3 linked regions of the Notamacropus eugenii genome follow. Each later gene encodes a partner of the first gene's protein in a complex. Links are inferred from orthologs where the notes say so. Each region holds a gene or a part of one and is shown in the gene's direction. Other genes may lie near its edges.

Region 1 (7,236 bases):
TTCTATTCTGGGGAAGCTAGACAAGTACAACAGTATTGGGGAAAGGCAGTGTCCTAGTTTTCAAAAAATGAAAGAGAATGTAGTCTGCAGACCACAGGCCAGTAAGTTTGACTTTAGTCCCTGGAAAAATTCTAGAACAAATTGCTAAATATTGCCATTAGAATAATTTTAAATGCTTGGTGAACATCCAGAAATGGAAGTAGGGATCACAAAGAAACAACATGGTTTCCTCAATAACAGGTCATGCCAAACTAGCCCCCTTTCTTTTTTTGATGGGAGTTTACCAGACTGGTTAATTGGGGTAAATATAGGGTAATATATAACAAAAAGATTTCAACAAAACTTTGGCCAAAAATCTTTCAAGTGATTCTTATGGACAAAACAGAAATATGTGCTAGATGATACTGCAGTTGGAATTACTAATATTTTTATGTAAACTTGGGAGGAAATCTTTAGTGGAGTGACCCCAGAGATCTGTGCTTGGCCATTGAACTTAACCACTAATTTGCCATGATCAAATTTGCTGAGAGCCAGGAAGCAGACAACGAGCATACTCTGATCTGCAGGGTGAATTCTTTCCCTGCCTGCAAGTTTCTTGATGTCCAGAATCATTTTGCCCTTTCACTCTGTATGTAAAGCCACATACTCCATGGGAGCATTAGAGACTAAAAATCTGACCTGGGAATTTTTTTTTGCCTTGTGAGTCCAATATGAGGCAGTATTGGAAATGATCCCCTTCTTCTCTGATAATAATATAGCACAAAAAAAGTGAGATTTAAAGAGTCCCATAGGAGTTTTAGGACTTGCATAAGCCAGGTTCTAAAACATGTGTCACTGACTCCTCTTCTGACAGTGACAGCTCACATTAGAGGATTGATGGCCTAAGCAGAATACACAGTTGGGGTGTCCAGCCATGTATCCCCCCAATTCTTGAAAACCCAAGGTTTGTTGGACTCGACCTCATCTTCAAAGCTATATCCCATCATCAGGACTGGTGACCCATAGCAGTAGGAGTCATTTAGTAAGGCCCTGAGCTGTAGAAGTCAGAAGCCATCAGGTACAGCATTGATGGCCACAACGATGGGTCCCACAGTAGACACAACATCTTGGAGGGTTCTCTCAGCACTTGAAGGAAATTTAAGTAGCTAAGCCAGCATTGTTGGCAACAGATAATTCTGCCTTGTACTTAGATTCTTTTCTTGGCCATGTACAAGCAGGAGTCTTCAGAATCAATGCCCCCCCTTCTCTTTGACATACTGAGAAACCCCCATTATAAACCCATGTTCCCCTGCTTCCAACTGCAGGCCCCCAGCCCCTCTTGCTCACTCACAGGTAAGAAGATGGTGGGATGTAGTCATGTCCTCTCCAGTTTGCTGCTTTGAAAACCTCCACAAAGTTGGATATGGATATTACAGTTGGGGTTTTCTTTCTAGATGATTTGTAGCCCTGAATCTTTTCCATGAATTCTTCCTTGGTCGTGTCAGCCAAACTGGTTCATGGCCAGTGTGTAAGTGGGTTAGTCCATGCTGTCTTCCATGCTGTCCGCTTCATTTTCTCTCCTGAAGGAGACGATGCCAAGATTTCCACACCTTCCAGTGAATGTCCCTCTGGATAAAATGAGGGGCTCCCAGGGTCAACCCCAGACAGTGCAGCCACTAAGAGAGAAAACTCCATTACTGATGCTGTTAACAAAAAGCCTGGAAGGGAAGTGTTTTTTCTTCTTTACGTTACTGATATTTGTTCCTATTTCTACTGCTTCAAAGAGTGACTCGTTTCCTAGGGGAAGTTTGTGACCCTTGTGACAAAGTGAATCATCTTTGCTTTCCATTCCATGTTCTCCCAGTGATTGGGAGCTTAGGTTGAGAAAGGCTTTGGAGACAAATTGGTTGTTCCGCCTTGAGTACTAGCTTCTAACTGGCTTGAATCGAGCCATTAAAAGACATCTCTGGGCTATTACTAGCTTTGGTAACACTTCCTACTGTATATGCAGGTGCTGCAAGGGACGGGAAGTGATGACAAAGTTACAAAGACCATCTCTGCAACTTACCTTTTGCAATATACCTTTCCTACTATAGCATATAGACAACTTTTTAATAAAGTGCACAAAAAGTGTCCCTTTCAAAGGAATCTTGGTATAACCTATGTACAAATGAGACAAATGACAGGTTTGTAGCCTTGTGGTGCAGTGGATAGAGCCCCTGGCCTGGAGTCAGGAAGACTGAATTCAGACTGAGACACCTACTAGCTGTGTAACGTTGGGTAAGTCACTTGAGTCTGTTTACCTCCGTTTCCTCATCTGTAAAACTGAAGGAAATGGCCAAAGTGTCATGAAGAGCTGGACATGATGGGAGCAACTGAACAACAAATATTGTTACCTAAGGATCCTGGCATAAGATTAAAGTATTCATGTTGAAGAGCCACGCATTTGTACGATTCTAAGGCAGGGTCTGAACCTGAAGTTTGCCCTCTGACCTAAGCATGCAGAGGAGAAAGTGAACTGGCAGAATTCTGGTGCTGTAAGATGTTCTGGAGATCGAAGTCAAGCCCCTCATCGTGGGGGGGGGAGGGCCAGAGGGGTGGGAGGCTGTTCTGGGTCTTCATGCTGCCTCTTGTTATCGCTCTTAATAACTCATCTAAAAGGGTGAAAAACCTTACCACTAGAGTCTCCATCAGTTCTCAGGAAACTGTCTCCTCAGGTAGCCCAGCGGATGGGCAGGGGTGGAGCTCATGCCTGCAAGCACCCGTAGCTGTTAGAAATCCTCCGTCAGCTCCTATCCTGTCCTTGAGCCATCCTCAGCGTAACCCAACATTTATATTTCAACACATTTGCCTCTGCCCCTCCGAGGCCACCCTCCCACTCAAAATAAATTTAGGAATTAATCACCATACGCCACGTTGGCAGTACTGGCTCAGAGCGCAAGTTGTGCCAAGCTGTGTGACCTCGGTGGATTCCATTAACGTTTATAACATGTAAGGATGACTTCCGTGACCTCTTAGGTTCAGGCTTTTTATAGACTAGAGAGATGTGAGGGATGAGCTTAGACTGAGCACTCTCCCTCTGGCCTGGCACTCCAACGTTCCTCAAAGCACGAACCCATTCATGATCTCAGGACCTCTACGGTGCCAGCAGAGAAGGGATGACGGGACTGGCACTTCACCTTGTGTTGAGTGAGGGAGGGCTGTGCGGGTCACCAACCTCACTTCTCCCCCAGAGCCACCTGGGTCCAGGGACCAGATACTCATCAGGATGGCTGGAGGTGACCCAGGCGGAGGCAGTTGGGGTAAGTGACTTGCCCATGGGCTCACAGCTAGTGAGCGTCGTGTCTGAGGTGAGCTCTGGCCTCGGGTCCTCCTGCCCCCTGCTGTGGTGCTCTGCCCACCGCACCACCCGGCTGCCCCTAGGATGCCTACAGGCAACAAAAAAAAGTTGAAGGAAGTGGGTGGAAACGCGCCTGCTGCGTGCGGGACAGGCTTCAGCGCCCGCGCCCGTCGGACCGCCCCGGCCCGGCTCCGGCCGTGAGAGCGGGGCCGCAGCGTGCGGGCGGGACCACGGGCCCGGGGCCTCCCCCGCACCTCGCCCCCTCCCCCAAGGGACAGCCGCGGTCCGACCCCGCGGCGTGGCCAGCCCCTCCGCCTCCGGGCACCCCCGGTGCCCCGGCCGGGCCGCGGATCGGGGGGCCCCTCCCCTCCCCCCTCCGGCCGTCCGGACCCCCAAAGATCACGGTGTAAGACCGAGGCAGCGGAGACGGGGTCGGGAAGACTCCGACTGTAGGACCCCGGCACGTCCCCTCACCCTGTCTGCCTCCGCTTCCTCATCTGTACAATGAGCTGGTACCTCTGCCAAGAGAACCCCACGGGCCGCCACACGGCCCGACCACGACCCGTCCGACCACGCTGGTGACGCGCCTGGCCGCCCTCAGCACCGGCGGGGCTCACTCGCGGCCGAGGTGACCGCCGGCGCCCAAGCCGCGCCGGGCCGCTGGGTTCACCCTCGGCCGGCAGGTGGCGCCAAAGCCCGCGCTCCAGTCCAATGCGACGGCGTCCGAGCCCGGGAGGGCGGGGGAAGTGACGTAAGGGCGGGGGGCCGTCCCGTCGGACGTGCGCCAGGCTGCCCCCCGCGCCGGCCGCCGAGCCGCGCGCCTTGATGACGTAGCCGCGCTGTCCCCGTCCCGTCCCCTCCCCTTCCTCCCCCGCCTTTTCGCGGCCGCCGCGCTCAGTCCTTTTGTCCAAGATGGCGGCCCGGGGGGCGCTGCCTCCTCCTCCTGCTCCTGCTCCGGCCCCGGCCCCGCCGCCGCTGCCCCCGCGCCGCTGCCCCGTCGCGCTGTGAGGGAGGGGGCCCGGCCAGGCCCGGCCGGCCTCGGCGCCATGAAGCGGCAGAGCGAGCGCGACTCGAGCCCGGGGGCCCGCGGGGCGTCGTCGTCGTCATCGTCGGCGAAGCGGCCCCGGGAGCGGGAACGGGATCGGGATCGGGAGCGCGGGGAGCGGGAGCGGGAGCGGGGCGAGCGCGGGGAGCGGGAGCGCGGCGAGCGCGAGCGGGAGCGCGGGGAGCCCGACTGCGGCAGCGGCGGCGGGGGTCGGCGGGCCGCGCACAAGAGCTCCAGCTCCGGCTCCGCCTCCGCCTCGGGGCCCGCCAAGCACCAGGCCCCGGCCCGCGCCCGCGACAAGCCCCGCGGCGGCGGCTCCGGCTCCGGCGGCGGCCACCGCGAGGGCCGAGGCTCCGGAGACTCCAACCACCGCGCGGGCGGCGGAGGCCGCTCGGGGGGCGGCGGCGGCCGCGCCAAGGCCGAGCCCGGCTCGGCGTCCGCCTCGTCCCCGGGGGCGTCCCCGCTGCTGCTGCTGCCGCCGCTGCCCGAGCCCCCCGCGCCGGCGCCCGCCCCGCCGCCGCCCGCGCCCGCCCCGCCACCGCCGCCGCCGCCGCCCGAGTACAAGACGCTGCTCATCAGCAGCCTGAGCCCCGCGCTGCCGGCCGAGCACCTGGAGGACCGCCTGTTCCACCAGTTCAAGCGCTTCGGCGAGATCAGCCTGCGCCTGTCGCACACGCCCGAGCTGGGCCGCGTGGCCTACGTGAACTTCCGGCACCCGCAGGACGCCCGCGATGCCCGGCACCACGCCCGCGCCCGCCAGCTGCTGCTCTACGACCGGCCGCTCAAGGTGGAGCCCGTGTACCTGCGAGGCGGCGGCGGCGGGAGCAGCCGGCGCAGCAGCAGCAGCGCGGGGGCCGCCGGCACGCCGCCGCCCGGGCCGCCCGCGCCCGCCGACCCGCTGGGCTACCTGCCCCTGCACGGGGGCTACCAGTACAAGCAGCGCTCGCTGTCCCCCGTGGGCGCGCCCCCGCTGCGGGAGCCCCGGGCCCGGCACGCGGCAGCCGCCGCCGCCTTCGCCCTGGACGCCGCCGCGGCCGCCGCCGCCGTGGGCCTGTCCCGGGACCGGGCCCTGGACTACTACGGGCTGTACGACGACCGGGGCCGGCCCTACGGCTACCCGGCCGTGTGTGAGGAGGACCTGATGCCCGAGGACGACCAGCGGGCCACCCGCAACCTGTTCATCGGCAACCTGGACCACGGCGTGTCCGAGGTGGAGCTGCGCCGGGCCTTCGAGAAGTACGGCATCATCGAGGAGGTGGTGATCAAGAGGCCGGCCCGCGGCCAGGGCGGGGCCTACGCCTTCCTCAAGTTCCAGAACCTGGACATGGCCCACCGGGCCAAGGTGGCCATGTCGGGGCGGGTGGTGGGCCGCAACCCTATCAAGATCGGCTACGGCAAGGCCAACCCCACCACCCGCCTGTGGGTCGGAGGCCTGGGGCCCAACACCTCTCTGGCCGCCCTGGCCCGGGAGTTTGACCGCTTCGGAAGCATTCGGACTATTGACCACGTCAAAGGAGACAGCTTTGCCTACATCCAGTATGAGAGCCTGGATGCGGCCCAGGCTGCCTGCGTCCAAATGAGGGGCTTTCCCTTGGGGGGGCCGGAGAGGAGGCTCAGGGTGGATTTTGCCAAAGCTGAGGAGACCAGATACCCCCAACAGTGCCAGGCGACGCCGCTCCCGGTGCACTATGAATTGCTCCCTGAGGGCTACACCAGGCACCGAAATTTGGAGGCCGACCTGAGGGTCCGAGATAGGACTCCCCCTCACCTTCTCTACTCAGACCGGGACAGGACTTTTGTGGAGGGCGACTGGGCCAGTCCCTCCAAAAGCACCGACCGCAGAAATAGCCTGGAAAGCTACAGCCGTTCTGTGCGCAGCCGCAGTGGGGAGAGATGGGGCAGCGATGGGGACCGGGGCCTGTCGAAGCCCTGGGAAGAAAGGCGAAAGAGGAGGAGCTTGTCCAGTGACCACGGACGGACTGCCCACTCACCTTATGAGGAGAGAGGCAGAACCAAAGTCAGCGGGCTGCCCTCAGACCGAAGCCCCGAGAGGCTCCGGAGAGAAAATCACACGGGTGAGTCGGGGGCAGAGAAGGAGCCCAGCAACTCCCTGCCCAACAACCGGCACGGGGCCGAAGAGAGAGGCCCCGACGCTCACCAGGTGAGAAAGAGAGACAGCGAACGCAATCATCGAACCGAGGTAGAAGCGAAGCCCATGGAAGAGCCAAAACCCGAGACCAAAAAGCTCAAGACTCTGTCTGAGTACGCTCAGACCCTGCAGCTGGGCTGGAACGGGCTTTTGGTGTTGAAAAACAGTTGCTTCCCCACTTGTATGCACATTCTAGAGGGGGACCTGGGAGTAATCAGCGGCCTCCTCAAAGACCATGCTTCAGGGAGCAAGCTGACACAGCTCAAGATTGCCCAAAGACTTCGACTTGACCAGCCCAAACTGGATGAGGTCACTCGGAGAATCAAGCAGGGAAGCCCCAATGGTTATGTGGTGCTTCTGGCCACTCAGGCTTCTCCAGGAGGGCCTGGAGCAGAGGGGACCCACACTGTGGAGCCGGGTTTGCAGCGGAGGCTTCTCAGGAATCTGGTCTCATACTTGAAACAGAAGCAGGCTGCTGGGGTGATCAGCTTGCCAGTGGGAGGGACCAAGGGCAGAGACAACACTGGCATGCTCTATGCCTTCCCTCCCTGTGAATTCTCCCAGCAGTACCTCCAGTCTGCTCTGAGGACATTGGGGAAGTTAGAAGAGGAGCATATGGTGATAGTTATAGTAAGAGACACTGCCTAGCCAAAACCTGGCTTTTCCCAGTCTTGTGTTTTCTTTGTGTCATGAAAACAGTTATTTTTAAAGCCAATTCTGCTC
Region 2 (7,944 bases), on another chromosome or scaffold:
ATATTAAAAGAGACCTTTTAATATTTTCTGGATTCTTTTCCACATTAGGTGTGGCCCCAAATTCTACCAGTGACAATAATGAATCAATTAATTAAACAATCAAATTAAGATGTCAACAATTAATCCCTAAAATAACAAAACGATTTAAATCTTTTTTTTTTTTTTTATGTCTAAAAAGCTACCAAGAGGGCTAGGAGGCTTTTTGCTAAGCACCTACTATTTAATGTGCCTTGATCTTGGTCAGTGAGTTTTTTCTTTTTAAATTGATTTCTTCTGTAGTACTATATAGAAAGTACTGGATGCTCAGAATGTAAACAAAAATGAAAAACAGTCTTTGCCTGTTAAGTAACATACAGTCTCCTGGGAGAAAACAGCACATACAAAACAGGCATCTCTAAGATCATTTGAAGTGAAGGACAGCCCTAAACAGCCAGGCAGGACAACAAAGACTTCCTCTAGGAGGTGGTACCTTTGAAGGAAGCTAAGGAGTCAAACAGGCAAGGGGAGGAAAGGTATGCATTCCAGGCACAGGGCAAGACATACTGTTTGAAGAAGAAACAGCTAGCACTCCAGATTAGCTGGAACATTGACTGCTAGAGAAAAAACAAACCAAAAAACCCCAACCAAATCCCAAAATAACAACCAAATACTTATAAAGAACATTTGTGAGTCTTTCACACAAAATCCAGATAACTAAATCAAGAAATTACTGTTTTCTACCTCTACATCCCAGAAGAAACTGCTTTAGTTTTGTGAACACGTTCATTTGCAAGATATCATCATAAACTTCTCCAAACAATATTTTATATTGCTACGTTTTATGTAGTACTGTTGACTGAAGTTTTGTGAGAAAAGGGGATAGAACAAGGGAAAAAGAACATAAAGGACAAAAGGAACTTCCCACAGAACTAAACTTATTGAAATAAGGAAAAGATGTCCATTTTGAAATCACTTGTCTTTTTGAAGACTGAGGCTTTGATACGGTGAGAGTCCTTTATATACTATTTATGTATTTCTACAATGTCTCCCTTTTGACAGGTCCCTCTACAATCAATAAGTATTTCTTAATCATCTACTATATACCAGTCACATGCTTGAGGTAGACAACCCCCTAACTCATCAATGGGTTTGAAAATCCTTGGTTATCCTCAACCTAGTTTGGCCGTTCTGCCAAAATGGTTTACCAGGGTGTGGCCGCTGCGCATACTGCAGCTTCTTGGAGCCACAGGTGAGAGCTGGGTGGAACAGGTGAACACCAAAGGTAGAAAGAGTCCCCAAAAGTGCTCAGCAGCCATCACACCAAGGGTACTAGTCCTCCCTGAACATACCCTACATGTGAAGACTTCCAACGGCCATGAAGGCAGCTGAAGCAGGTGATGTGGAGCCCTTAGAGCTTGGTTAGATACTGAAGACACCAAGGTCATCCATGGCATCCTAAGTCATTGCCAGCCATCTTGACTCTGTCCTGCCACTGAACTATGATGACTGAGGGATAGAGTGAGGCTGACAACTTTGTGCAACTCTGCCTCACTTAAATCCAATTTTCGCATGAATGAAAATACAGTATTGGTCTGATCAGCCACAGTCAGACACACTGAAACTTCATTTTTATCATGGTGATGTCATTTTTGTCCTCTTTGAAAACGAAGGACAACAGCCAACCAACCAACTATATACCAGTCACTGTAATAAGTTCTGGGGATACAAAGAAGGCAAAAGATAATCTCTGCTCTCAGGGAGTTGGCAGTAGAATGCAGGAGATGGCATAGTATGTACAAACAAGCTCTATATTGAATAAATTGGATATAATCAACAGAAGGAAGGCTCTTAAGGGAGATCAGAAAAGGATCCTTGTAGAAAGTAGGATTTTGGCTCTGACTTGAAGCAGATGCCTTAAGACAAAGACATAAGCAATCCCTCTGAGTACACTAAGTGGTTGGTTGGAGACAAGGAAGGAGAGCATTGTAGGTACAGGGGAAAGCCAGTGAAAATACTCAGTGCTCTTTCAAAAAACAAGCAGATAGGCCAGTGGGAGTGGCTAACAAAGTATGTGGAAGTGAGGAAAGGGTAAGAATACTAGAAAGATAAGGGAAGACAGGTGAACAGCTCTGAATGACAAACAGGATTTTATATTTGATCCTGGGTGACAGGAAGCTACTGGAATTTACTGAACAGAAGATGACGTCAAACTTTCCCTTCCCTATTTCATCACTGTTATCTCAATGTGCACTGCATTTTTATATACTCTGAGATCCATTCTCAGAAATGCTTATTAAATATCTTCATCATTTGGTCTCCTATTCTCAAACTTGCAAAGCATATGATGAAGCCTCTTATGCTACTCCTACAAAAAAAACATAAAAATGTGAACTAGATAACAGTGCAGGTAGATTTGGAGTTGACTGAATGGCTAGACCTAAAAGCTAGATTTGATGTGCCTACAGAATAGCAGGTGATTAATATATTTTTTTTTTATCAATGCCTTCTCTGGGATCCAGGATCTACTTGGTTCTGTGAAGTTTAACATAGAACCAAAGATTTAGAATTGGAAGGGAACTTAGAAGTAATCCAGTTCAACACCTTCATTGTACAGTTGGGAATACCGAGATTCTCTCCCTCCCTCCTCCCTAAAGAGTTTAAATAACTTGATCAGGAACACAGATGTTAAGTGGCAATTTAATTCTAGGGACTCTTTCCACTATACCACAATGATAAAGATTTGGTACTATCACTAAATTTACACATGACACAAAACTAGCCGGCAATACTTAGCATCCTGGATTGTCATGATTTAAAAATATCTTGACAGGCTAGAACACTGAACCAAGTCTAAAAAGTTTTCATGGGCATTCAATCCATTCAATTCCAATCCACATTTATTAAACACTTAATTCATGCCAGGGACTTTACAAAGAGCCCGATACAATAATTAAAAAAAAAAATCCCTGCTCTCAAGGAGTTCACAATCCAACTCGGCAATTGGGGGGGTTAGGGGAAGAGAGACCAAGGGGGTTCCCCAGTTCAGGGCCACCTTGGTCCCTGGAGTTGAAACCAGGCACAGCAGCAGATGAAGAGTGGAGTGTGCAAAAGTCCAGTAATAACTATAAAGTGGTACTCTTCCTTGGGTTCAGTGGAAAAAGCACCAGTTTTGGAGTCAGAGGAGAGATCAAATTCTACCTATGTGAACTTTCCACAAATCACATAATCCCACATAATCACATAAATGAGTTTCCTCATTTGTAAAATGAAGAGGCTCAGAGATCATCTTTAGCAGGGGCAGGGAACCTGCATTGGGAAACCAAACTGTTCTTGGATTCAGTCAAAGGGCTGTACTTGAGGACCTTGAGGGCCTCTGTGGCCTCGCCGCTGTAGGTTCTCCACCCCTAATCTTTAGGGTTCTTTTTAATTGATTGATCCCACAACACATTCCTATTATCTTTAGGAAAGGCAGAAACCGACCATTAAAATGTTTAGGTATATGTCCATTTTAAGTTTAAGGAAAAAAAATACCTGGAAGAAGTTGAATTTGAGCCGTTATCATTGTGCATATACTCTTCCAGGTTTGCACTTTGATTACTGATTTTTCACAATTAACAAATTTGTGCAGTAAAATAGATCATAAAATGCAGGGATTATAACCAGCTACAATAAATAATGCTACACACAAATATCTGAGTATTGTTTGTTTATACGTGCCTCCCTCCAACTAAGCTTCTGATTACATATCCATAAAGAAACTTAGAAAAAATAAGGTCTGTGAGGCTGGGACCTAGTTCACTGCTTTAAGACTGCTAAAGAGCTCTTTTGACTGAGATTGGTAATCCCCACACAATCCAGAGAAGCCAAGAATTCTGGCTATTGCTATTACTGTAACTTAACTGCACAGTAAGTAAAACACATCATCCTTCCTAGGGGAGGTAGGATCTTGGACGGAACTTAAAGCAAGCCAGGAAGGTCAGAAGGCATGGGCATGGGAGGGGGAGGGGAGGACAGCCAGAGACAACAATGCCCAGAGTCAAGAGATAGAGGGAATCGTTAGAAGAGTCAAAATAGGTGCAAAACGATTATTTTGCGGGATGCTTACGGGATGTCTGCAGATTGTAAAGCACTTGAGAACCATCAGGTTAAAGCACAGGGATAGGGACGTGGGTATTGGGGGAGGGGGCGAGGCTGAAGCCAACTCCTTCTGGGACCTCAGAAGGCGTCCCAGCACCTTCCCCAGAAACGAACAACTGGATAAACTTCTTTTTAAAACTTTCATATAGTTAAACGACGGGGGGCGGGCACGGGGTCTTCAGCGCATGCCTCGGGAGCCCCACAAACCAAGTCAAAAACACAACACGGAACAAAAGCGCACCGGTCCTAGCTCCCCGCCTCGATCTCCGCACGCAGCCTCTGGGACCCTCGGAGCTGGCGGCCGTCCAACCACGCCTTTCCCCAGACTCCGCTCGAGCTTTCCGCCGCCTGCAGGGACGAACGCGGAGACCTCAGCAACCCCAACGGTTGAGCCTGCGCACCGAGAACAACCAGTCGCTGGAGGGAAGTGCGGGTGGGAGAGAAGGCTGGAGGCCCGAGGGAGGGTGTTGTCCAGGGCAAACTACAAGTCCCAGGAGGCTAGGCTGCGCGAGGTCGGAGGAGCCGCGGGGCCTGTCGGAAGTTGAAGTACTTCGACCAGGAAATACCGCCCCCGCCCATCCCCCATCCGCTCTCTCCCGCCAAAGGGAGAAGCGGTTTGATCTGTGAAGATGGCTCTTCCTTCTTGTACCTAGGGAATCGCTCCGGCGGCCCCTTCTGCCATGAAGCTGTCTCCTTGCGCTCCCATTTTCCTTATCTTTTTTTCCCTCGTCCCATTCCAAACTGCTCCGAACTTTCTTCGTCCCTGAACCCCGGCAAAAGCCACCTTCATCTCATTTCCGCTGACTGAGCTCGGTCGGGTCGTCGCGCACGCGCCCGTGGTGACTGGGGCGACGCTGACTTCCGCTCCCAGAGTGCACCTCGAGCCGAATCATGGACCACACTGGTAAGGAGGTGGAGGGGGGGGGTCTCGTTTACATGGACCCCTCGGCCGGCCCGAGACCCGCCGTCGCCCGGCTGGCGTAGCGGAACCGGGCTCGTCCTGAGGGGATGGGTTGCAGTGGCGAGGGAGGATCTCTACATACTCCTCTTCCCTCCCTTCCTCCCTCCCGGCCGTGCCCAGCTGGGGCCTGATAGACCTCTCGGCCTACACCCCTTCTTTACATCCCCTCCCCCGCTCCGCGCTGCAGCCTCGGCGCCGTGTCGGTCCAGAGTGGGACCCCGGGGCTGCGTGGGGGGCGCTGGGTTCCCCCCGAGGCCTCCTTCCTTTCCGTCTTCGGCGTTTGGCGGCTTGTGCCGGCCGGGGCTATTTCCCGGCCAGTGTAGGGCTTTGGGGAAGGGAGGGGACCTTGGGGAGCCCAACCCTGGCTTTGTGGGAGTAGAGCCACGGGGCTAGACGTCCCCGTGGCTTCCTCCTCCCTCGCAGCCGCCCAGAGCTTCGTTGTCGTCGGTGCCCGTGCGTGTGGTAGCTAGGCTGAAGGAGCCGGATATGATCTCGAGCTCCCCTTCAGCGCAGTCTTTGTGTAAAGTCCCGACCAGACCCTTCTGTCTTCCCCGAACCTCGGCTTTTGGGCTGTGTGCGGTTGGGAGCTTCCTCATTTTGGACTCTGCGCTAACCAACAACCCCTTCCTCTCTCCAGCCGCGGCCCCTTGGTGAGCCAGGCTTTTTGTTTTCTGGGGCGCTTTGTGAGCAGTGCTAGTAGGGTGTCTGTAGTCCGTGAAGTAAAATACCGTGCACTTACTACGAAGTCGTGTCCGTTTCTCTGGGACCCCCTGGACCCAGCGCGTCCGGACTGCCCGTGGGGTTTTCCGGGCACAGATTCGGGAGTGGTTTGCCGCTTCAGGTGAAATGACTCCCCAGGGTGTGTCCGAGGCCGGATTTGAACTCGGGTCTTCCTTACTCCTGGCCCATCTGTCTACCCACTGAGCCACCTGTCTGCTTCGACTGCTAAAGTACTGATAAAGCTGAAGTCTTGGACTTCGTAACAGAGAAGTGCCCCCCACCCCCACCCCCCAGAGAGTAGCAGAATTTTTGCATTCGACGTTGGAAGTGAGATATTTATTTGGAGGCTTGTGTGTGTTTTAGGTGAACCTAGTATTTTTAAATGGACCCTGAGAAAAGTGAAAGAACAGTCACGGATTGTTTTCTTATCGCAAGTTCTGCGCTCCGTGTAGGGCTATTTCAAAGGAAACTTGGTGCTTGTAGTGCAGTAGAATGTGAGCTCCTTGAGGGCAGGGACCCCGTTCTTAATTTTGTTGTTAGTTTGTTGGTTTCTCCAAATGTGCCTGGTAGGTAGGAAGCATGGAAGAAATGCTTGTTGACTTACTGACTTACAGTGAGAAGTGTACCCTATTTGTATATTGTAAAACCCTAGTTTTAGAAAACATGGGTACATATATCGTCTAGTAAATGTTGTATTTATGAGAACGACTTAAGACACAGAAGGGCAGTTGAGTAAAGAACAGGCTTTACCAGCTGCAGCTGTAACCCCAGTTGTGTAGTGTACAAAGACCTGCTAGTAGAGGCTTTTCAGCTTCATACAAAACTAAAACTATGGGCAGTATTCAGTTCAGGTAGGGAGAGGTAACAGTAATGCATACTATTATTAGAAAAACATAATTTTGACTTTCTAGCAAAGTTAGAGGTGAGGTTTTATGCCAGGAAAGAACCAAACTGAAAAGTCACTGGCCAACAATTCTCTTTACCTGGCTGCTCTTTTGGAAGTTTTTAAATGCCTTCGCTAGGAAAAGTAACAAAAATGAAAAGTGAAAGTGAAATAAGTTGATTTGGTTGAACTTTTAATGAAAGGTGTTCGGTGAAATGGGAGGAAACTTTGGGCCATTAGCGATCTTTTGATGTGTTTGATGCTATTTTTCTCTCTTACCCTTGTTATTCTTGTCACCCTTGTTATTCTTGTCCCCATCTTATATTAAAATCATGGCTTGTTACAAAATAGTTGTTATAAAATAATGCTAAGAAACTGGTAATGAAAAATATTTTGGATTATTTTGTTGCCATTTTACCTCTTGGAATTCTTACCATAAACATTTCCTGATCTTCCCAATTGTTGATACTTCCCTTCTCCTACCCAAAATCACTTTGTATTTACTTATCTATGTATGTTATAAATGCTGTATAATAAAAAGCATTTTAATAAATACCTGTGGATTGGTTATTGATTAATGTTGTACCCCTTGTTCCCTTTCCATAAAGGCAGGGAGTTTTCATTTATGTTTTTGTTTTTGTGTTCATAGTTCCTAGCGTATAGCAGGCATTTAGTAAATGCTTCTTGAAGTGCATTGTTTAAGGTTCAGTTTTGAATCTCCCCCCAACAAACAATCATAGATTCCTGTTGATCAAAAGAATGAATTGTAGGATTGAACATGAGTCTTTAATGATGAGAAACCTAGAAATAGGTCTCGAAGTTCAAGTCCAACTTAATACCTTCAAGCAGGCTTTACCTAAATACATTCTGAACAATTCTAGTTAGATGTCCTAAAAATTTTCAGACAGCACAGTAACTTACTGAAGTGCTTAACAAAAGTAACTGAAAAAAATCATTTTAATTAACTGAAATTTGGCTTAGTTAGTAAAAAGTAACATCTTTTCCTGTAATTGGGAAGTCATGCCTCAGCCTTAAACAGTTTTTTCTGGGGAATAATATTTGTGTTAGGCATTTAGAAATGCATAATCTCTCTTTGCAATCCATGTGTTTTGGAAGTGAGGCATTTTGTTCTTTTTACAGTACTGAGCTTTACAGGTAACTGGGTAAATATGTGATTTACGGGGCTTGGAAAGCATGTTTTGGTCTAAGACTTAGTTGACTTCATAGCAACATTATACTTCTCTTAATGTTTTTTGGGTGAAAA
Region 3 (7,687 bases), on another chromosome or scaffold:
GCAGCAGCAACATCCATTTTTGGAGCCCTTGGCCTAAAGAACCTGGGGGAATCCACTGATCTGGATCTCAGCCCTGAGTGGCAGTCCTGGGGTGAGGATGAGCACTGGCTGGTAGAGCTGGTGGAGGCTCTGGACAGAGAATTCTACTCACACATCCTGGGCAGAAAAGCTTGGGGTTGCTCCCAGACCAGAGCACAGGCCAGGAGAGAAGTAAACTCCTCTCCTTTAATTGTGCCACCTTGGAGGAACTGAGAATTTACAGGTCCCTAGAGTATACCCTCCACTTGACAAGCACTCAGAAGTCAAGTAACTGACTGGGAAAATGCCCAGAAAAGGGAAAAAAAAATAAGATTATAGAAGGTTACTTTCTTGGTGAACAGGTATTTTCTTCCATCCTTTTGGATGAGGAAGAACAATGCATACTATCAGAGGAAGACATAAGAGTTAAGGTTTCTGCATCCAAAACCTCCAAAATAAATATGCAATGGATAGAATTGCGTGGTGATTCTATCAGGCCATGGAAGAGTTCAAAAAGGATTTTGGAAATCAAGTAAGAGAGGCAGAGGAAAAATTGGGAAGAGAAATGAGAAAAATGCAAGAAAATCATGAAAAGTGAGTCAACAGTTTGCTTAAGGAGACCCAGGAAAATGCTGAAGAAAATAACACCTTTAAAAATAGACTAACTCAGATGGCAAAAGAGGTTCAAAAAGCCAATGAGGAGAAGAATGTTTTAAAAAGCAGAATTAGCCAAATGGAAAAGGAGGTTCAAAAGCTCACTGAAGAAGATAGTTCTTTAAAAATCAGAATGGAGCAAATGGAAGCTAAAGACTTTATGAGAAGCTAAGAAATTATAAAACAAAATCAAAGAAAATGAAAAAATAGAAGACAATGTGAAATATCTCATTGGAAAAACTACTGACTGAAAAATAGATCCAGGAGAGACAATTTAAAAATTATGGGACTACCTGAAAGCCATGATCAAAAAAAGAGCCTAGACATCATCTTTCATGAAATTATCAGGGAAAACTGCCCTGATATTCTAGAACCAGAGGGTAAGATAAATGTTGAAAGAATCCACGAGTCATCTTCTAAAAGAAATCCAAAAAGGAAAACTCCTAGGAATATTGTAGCCAAATTCCAGAGTTTCCAGGTCAAGGAGAAAATATTGCAAGCAACCAGAAAGAAACAGTTTGAGTGCTGTGGAAATACAATCAGGATAACACAAGATCTAGTAGCTTCTACCTTCAGGGACTGAAGGGTTTGGAATGTGATATTCCAGAAGTCAAAGGAACTAGGATTAAAACCAAGAATCACCTACCCAGCAAAACTGAGTATAATGCTTCAGGGGAAAAAATAGTCATTCAATGAAATAGAGGATTTTCAAGCATGTTTGATGAAAAGACCAGAGCTGAATAGAAAATCTGACTTTCAAACACAAGAATGAAGAGAAACATGAAAAGGTAAACAGGAAAGAGAAATCATAAGGGACTTACCAAAGTTGAACTGTTTACATTCCTAAAAGGAAAGATAATATTTGTAACTCTTAAAACTTTCTTCAGTATTTAGGTAGTTGTAGGGATTGTACACACACACACACACACACACACACACACATATAGACAGAGGGCACAGGGTGAGTTGAATGGGAAGGGGTGATATCTAAAAAAATAAAATTAAGGGGTGAGAGAGGAATATATTGAGAGGAAAAAGGAAGAAATGGAATGAGGTAAATTATCTCTCATAAAAAAGGTAAGAAAAAGCTTTTTTTATAGAGGGGAAAAGTGGGGAGATGAGAGGCAAAAAGTGAAACTTACTCTCATCACATTTGGCTTAAGGAGGGAACAACATACACATTCAATTTGGTATGAAAAATCTATCTTACGCTACAGGAAAGTAGGGGAGAACGGGATAAGTGGGATGGGAGGGATGATAGAAGGGAGGGCAAATGGGAGGAGGAAATAATTAGAAGTAAGCACTTTAGGGGAGGGACAAGGTCAAAAGAGAGAACAGAATAAGTGGGGGACAGGATAAGCCAGAGGGAAATAGTTAGTCTTTCACAACATGACTATTATGGAAGTTCAGGACTATACATGTATGGCCTATCTTGACCTGCTTGCCTTCTCAGTGGGGATAGGAGGGAGGAAGGGAGAGAAGTTGGAACTCAAAGTTTTAGGAACAAATGTTGAGAATTGTTTTTGCATGCAACTGGAAAGTAAGAAATACAGATAATGGGATACAGAAATCTATCTTGCCCTACAAGAAAAGAGAGAAGATGGGGATAAGGCAAGGGAGGAGTGTGATAGAAGGGAGCGCAGGTTGGGGAAAGGGGTAATCAGAATTCATGGTGTTTTGGAGTGGAGTGAGAGGAGAGATAGGGAGAAAATTTGGAACTCAAAATCTTGTGGAAATGAATGTTGAAAACTAAAAATAAATAAATAAATTTTTTAAAAAAGGGAAGCTGCCAGACTTCAATCTCAGCTAGAGCTTCTGGCTTAGTTTCTATCATCTACCACTCTCCACCTTGATTTACTGACACCCTAAAATAGTCCCTTCTCCACATTCTCTTGCTGCCCTCAGTCCCTGCTCAGGTACCCTCTTTCTTTGTTTTTCCTTTGTACACTAACTGAAATTTGGGTCCTCTCCCAACCCCTTCCACATTTAATACTGTTGCCAGAATAGTCTTTCTTACCCTAACATGGTGCTTGGCTATCCTAATTGGAAACTAGCTCTCCCAGAGCATTATTTCCAGACTGCGTTAGCTCCTGGAGACCTTGGAAATCAAACCCTTATCAGAGGTATTTGATGCAAACATTTTTCTAGTGTCCTATTTTCTCAGTTGAACAGATTTGGTCAATGCAAAGGTTTTTCAACCTAATATAATGAAAATGATCTTTGTACGTGTGATTTCTGGTTAAGAATTCTCTTGCTTGCTGTAGCTGTGAAAGCTTCCTAATCTTGTTCTTTTTTCATTTTTTTTTTATGGTATGACCTTGAATCTTCAGGTCATGTAGCCATGTTGAGTTTATTATGCTATACAGTGTACCCGAGTTAGACCATTTTGGGGGAGGTTAAATTGCTTTTCGGTTTTCCTAGTATTTCTTGCCAAAAACGAAATCCTCCCCACAAGTAACTCATGCCTTTGGTTGTATCAAACACTAGGCTATTGACTTCAGTTGTGTCTGATTCTTCCTTATGGAGCCTGTTCCACGGGTTGACTTCTCTATTTCTTCATTAGCATCAAATTGCTTTGATGGTCATTGCTCTGGTAGAATATGAAATCTTAAATTCTCCATTCCTACTTTTTTCTTTGTCAGTATCCCCTTGACCTTTCAAGCCTATTGTCCTTCTAAATAAATACGATTTTATTTACCTCTATGAAGTGTTCGCTGATCAGTCTGTTATAGCCCCCAACCTCTAGACTGATTAGAACGGTATAGTCATGTTTATTATATTGGCCCCGTCCAACCATGGGTAATACACGCCCATCCAATCACTCTTCTCTTTAAAGAGTGCTGTAATTAATACACATCTGGAGTGTGCCTTGATTCTCGGGCTTCCTCTTGCCGTTGTTACTGCTGTGTAGACGCGCTGTGCAGATTCCAAGAAGGGAGAGGAGCGTCCATGCCCTGAATGGGGGACAAGGGGGGAAGATGGGGCACGGAGCAAGCCTCCGAAATGCCACCTGGAGTCTGCGTGTCTGGGGAATTAAGAGCCGCTCGGAGCTAGGCACAGGACGGTGCCCCCACAAGAAGACATCCAGAAGGAAGAGCACGTGCGAGGAGAGGCGGAGGCAGAGTCCGAGCTGCCGGGTGCGAGGCGAGACCTTGCAGGCAGTGTAGACACACGGGTCTTTCCTTCACTTAAATTCGGTTAAGTCGGCATCCACTGAACCAGCATTACGGACAAGGACAAGTGACCTCCGCTCCTCAAGGCTGTTCCTCCTCTGTAAAATGAGGCTGGGTCCCGCGGCCCTGCGCACTCTAAGTCCGCGGTCTTCGATGGTCAGCAGACTGGCCGCCCACAGTCCTGCCCAGGCTGCCTCCGGACCGCCCAGGCATTCTTCAGGTTCCCTCTGAGACGATCTCTGACCTCAAGGTCTGCCCAAACTGCACACGCGGCGTCTGCCCCGCGTGTAGCACCGAGCCGGCAGCGGGCGTTTCTCATTTTGGGGCGCTGTCGTGTTCCCCGCTTAGCACGGCGCCTGGGGTGCAAGGGGCACCGTGGGGGAGGGGGGCCGGCCCGACGCAGTGATAACCGGGGGGACCCGGAAAGGGGCTCCGAGGCTCCGGGCTGGGCGTCCGTCAGGGGCGGGTGCTCCCGGCAGACACAGAAAGCGGATCCGGAGGGGAAACTGAGGCCCGGAGGGATGGACGGACCCGCTCCGGGTCAGGCGGCCGGCGAGTGCCCGCACCGGGCCTCAGCGGAGAGGACGGGGCTGCAGGTAAAGGCCTGGCAGCTCGGACGGCACGCGGGACCCTGGAATGACCGGCGCTGAGCCCCAGGACCGAGGGCACGGGTCCGAGCCTGCGGCGGGCCCAGGCAGCGCAGCCCCGCGGGGCGCGCCCCCGAGCGAAGCGGGCACGCGGAGAGGGAGGGGCGGGGGAGATCCGCGCTCCGGCCACGCCTCCTGACCAGTGACGTCACGCCACCGCGCACGCCCCAGCGCCGGCGAGGTCGTGGGGAGGAGGCGGGACTTCCTGGACCGGAAGCGACGAGCCGGGGAGCGTGGAGTCGAGCGGGTCGTTGGGGCCGGTCCTCGGAGGGGACGCGGGCCGGGAAAGGCTCAGCCTCGGGGAACCGCCTGTCGCCGAGGGAGGCCCTCGCCCTCCTGCCCTGTGAGAATAGCGGCGGCCGGGACATGGACAGCCGCCTCCAGGAGATCCGGGAGCGGCAGAAGCTGCGCCGGCAACTCCTAGCCCAGCAGGTGAGCTCCGGGGCGGGGGCTCGGGGCTGTGCTGCCCGTACACGCGGCCGCCCCGCGCATGCTCGCTCTGCGCATGCCCGTCCCGCCCATGTCCGCCTCCTGTCTCGCCGCGCATGCCCGTCCCTCAGGCCCCCCTCCTCTCCCCGGCGCGCATGCTCGCTCTGCGCATGCCCGCCCCGCTCAGGCCCGCCCCCTGTCCTCGGCCGCTCTGCGCATGCCCGCTCCCTCTCTCGCCGCGCGCGCCCGCCCCGCTCAGGCCCGCCCCCTGTCCTAGGCTCCTCTGCGCATGCCCGCTCCCTCTCTCGCCGCGCGCGCCCGCCCCGCTCTCCCGGGCCCCGCCCCTCGGTCCCCTCCTGTTCCTGTTGGCCGCCCTGCTCCGGTGGCCGAGGTCCGGCGTTGTCCCCTCGGGCCCTGCTGGCCGCCCCTGCCTCCAGGAAGCCCTGGTGATCTAGCCTCAGTTTACGCCCCTGTCAGTGAGGGGCGAGTTAGCCCTGGTGGAAGTGCGGGCCTCGGGTCGCAGAGACAGCGGCCTGCTGGGAAGGGCGGGCCCCGCCTCGGGCTGGGAAGTGGGGGTGCCGGCGCCGAGCCCCCCGCGCGCCAGGGAGGGCGGGGGCGGGGAGGAGGCTCGCCCAGGCCCTGCCGGCCCGCCGGGGTCCGGGGCGGGTTCGAGCTCGGGTCTCCCGTCCCCCGGCCGGCGGCACCCCGCCGGGCTCAGCACGGAGCCTCGGCCACCCGAAGGAGCCGGGTCTCGGGCCCCTCCCCCCAGCGCGGACTCTGTTAGGGCCATTTGTTGAGCTTTTCGTTTTTAGGGTTCTTTGCAGGCCCCGGATTCCCTGCCCCCCAGGGCCCCCCGCTGTGCTCGCCCCTCCGCTCCCTCCCGGGACCCCGGACGGAAAGCCTGGCCCCAGGTGGGGCCACGGGTGGGAGCCCTTCCTCCTGCCGTGGGCTCTCCCCCGGTCTCGGGGGCGGTGGAGATCCTGCCCTGCCCGCTGGCCCTGGCATGTGCCCCTGAAGAAGCCCCCCGGGCGGCCGTGCCCCCGCTCTCTTCCCCCGCCCCTCCCCTCCCCGCTGGGCCTTGGGCACCGCCTCCTGGCTGCCCCGCTCCTGCCCTGGCTTGGCCCTGCCATCCGGGCCCTCAGGACTCTGCCCTGGCCCTGCGGGTGCTCTCCTCTGACTGTCCTCAGCTCTCACGGCCTCTGCACGTTCTGGTGCCTCTTGGCCCCCCGCTGTGCTCACCCGGGCTTCAGCTTCCCCCCTTGGGGGGTGTCGTCTGCCTCCTCGAGAGCCGAGGCCGGCCTTTGCTTTTGGTCAGTGTCCCCAGCACTCAGCACCCTCCTGAATGTGCCCTGGTTCAGAGTCCAGCCTGGCACGTAGTGTGCTGACTTAGTGTCCGCTCCCCCTCTGAGGGGGCTGTCACCCCTGAGCAGTCGGGCTACCCCCGCCCAAGGCTGGGTGCCCGCTCCTGGCCCAGCCCGCTGTCTACCCTGGCTTGCGGACAGCTCTTCTCCCCTCATGGCTCCAGGCTTGGCTGCCTCTTGCCAGGCGTGAGGCAAGAGCCAGCTTCCTCTCATCTGCCAGTGGGCTTTTTCTAGAGTGGTCAGACCTGGTCACTGCTCAGCGAGCTCCGAGCTTTAGATTCTTTGTGCCCCTGTCCCTTCCTGCCTTCCCAGTCTGACTGCACCTTACTGCCCTCCTGCACCTCTGCCATCCCTGGGCGTTGGCCTCGAGCACACCCTCTGGCGGCTTCTGCTCCGCATCTTTGGGCCAGCGTCCCCCAGGCTGCTGGGCTCTGCCTCCTGGTCTCTGCTGCCTTCTTTCCCAGCTTCGCTCCAGGCCGAGTACCTTCTGCAGGAAGCTTTTCCTGATGCCCTCAGCTGCTAACGGCTTCCCCAGTGACATTTACCCATCATCTCCGTTGGAGCACACCCAGGGCTGGTTTTTGCCTTTCTTTGTCTTCCCAGCCCTTCGCACAGTGCCAGGCACATAGCAGACCCTATTGAATGGACCGATAGCAGATGCTGACTTATCTGATCATTCTCTGGCACTGGTTAAAGAGAAGTTTAATTAGTCACTATCCATGATCCTGGTGACCACTGACCAGAGTCCTCAGCTGCGTGCTGTTAGAACGTATAGTGATGAGGGATGGGAGACCCAGGGCTCCTTTCTCTTCTCCTCAGCCTGTATGACCTTGGCCAGGTCCCTCCCCTTCTCTGGGCTCCAGTGTTCTCATCTCTTAAATGAGTGAGTTGAGTTTGATGATGTCTGCACATCTGCCCAGCTTTGAAATCTGCTGCTGGGATCTGCAGCTCGGCCTCAGAAGCCCATCAGCTGGTAGGCCAGGTTTGTAATCAGCTCATGGATGACGTCTACACTGCAGCACCCTTGTACCTTGCTTTCACTCCTCTGAACTAACCACATTTACATGGGACACCTTTTCACTAGGATTGACTGCATAAAGCTGTTTGCCATCGAACATGCCATTCTTTACAGAAAGAGCCTTGGAATCCCGTTGATCGTCCTTCATTAGGTGCTGAATCTGCCCTGGTTCAGAGTCCAGCCTGACATTCTGTTGGGTCTCGGTCCCTGGCTTCAATAGGTCTCTGGCACAGGACCATGTTTACTCTAGAAAATGACTGACTGGGGGATGCCCAAGGAGAGGAAACTGGGGGCTTAGGGCTGGAGGGACCTCAGGGGCATCTGGTTCAGCCTCTGCCTTCCCCAGAAAAGAGGCAGCAGACCTGAGATGGGGTAGCTTGTCCAAGA

Evidence for each region.
Region 2: RBM15B (region 1) and CBLL1 share a complex: the UniProt entries of both Homo sapiens proteins name them as parts of the WMM complex. The link is inferred for Notamacropus eugenii from reciprocal best matches to the Homo sapiens genes RBM15B and CBLL1.
Region 3: RBM15B (region 1) and METTL14 share a complex: the UniProt entries of both Homo sapiens proteins name them as parts of the WMM complex. The link is inferred for Notamacropus eugenii from reciprocal best matches to the Homo sapiens genes RBM15B and METTL14.

What each region holds. Positions count from the first base shown.
Region 1 is NC_092872.1:3,418,327-3,425,562, reverse strand, and holds the start of RBM15B (putative RNA-binding protein 15B), read left to right. Parts: upstream 1-4,321; 5' UTR 4,322-4,356; coding exon of another isoform or gene 4,357-4,365; coding exon 4,366-7,161; 3' UTR 7,162-7,236. Other genes in the region: uncharacterized protein, read right to left, coding at 3,155-3,407, 3,794-4,321, 4,357-4,367. UniProt on the Homo sapiens protein: RNA-binding protein that acts as a key regulator of N6-methyladenosine (m6A) methylation of RNAs, thereby regulating different processes, such as alternative splicing of mRNAs and X chromosome inactivation mediated by Xist RNA.
Region 2 is NC_092874.1:147,685,517-147,693,460, reverse strand, and holds the start of CBLL1 (E3 ubiquitin-protein ligase Hakai), read left to right. Parts: upstream 1-4,931; 5' UTR 4,932-5,007; coding exon 5,008-5,020; intron 5,021-7,944. UniProt on the Homo sapiens protein: E3 ubiquitin-protein ligase that mediates ubiquitination of several tyrosine-phosphorylated Src substrates, including CDH1, CTTN and DOK1. Targets CDH1 for endocytosis and degradation.
Region 3 is NC_092878.1:165,436,000-165,443,686, reverse strand, and holds the start of METTL14 (N(6)-adenosine-methyltransferase non-catalytic subunit METTL14), read left to right. Parts: upstream 1-4,674; 5' UTR 4,675-4,858; coding exon 4,859-4,924; intron 4,925-5,297; exon of another isoform or gene 5,298-7,264; intron 7,265-7,687. UniProt on the Homo sapiens protein: The METTL3-METTL14 heterodimer forms a N6-methyltransferase complex that methylates adenosine residues at the N(6) position of some mRNAs and regulates the circadian clock, differentiation of embryonic stem cells and cortical neurogenesis.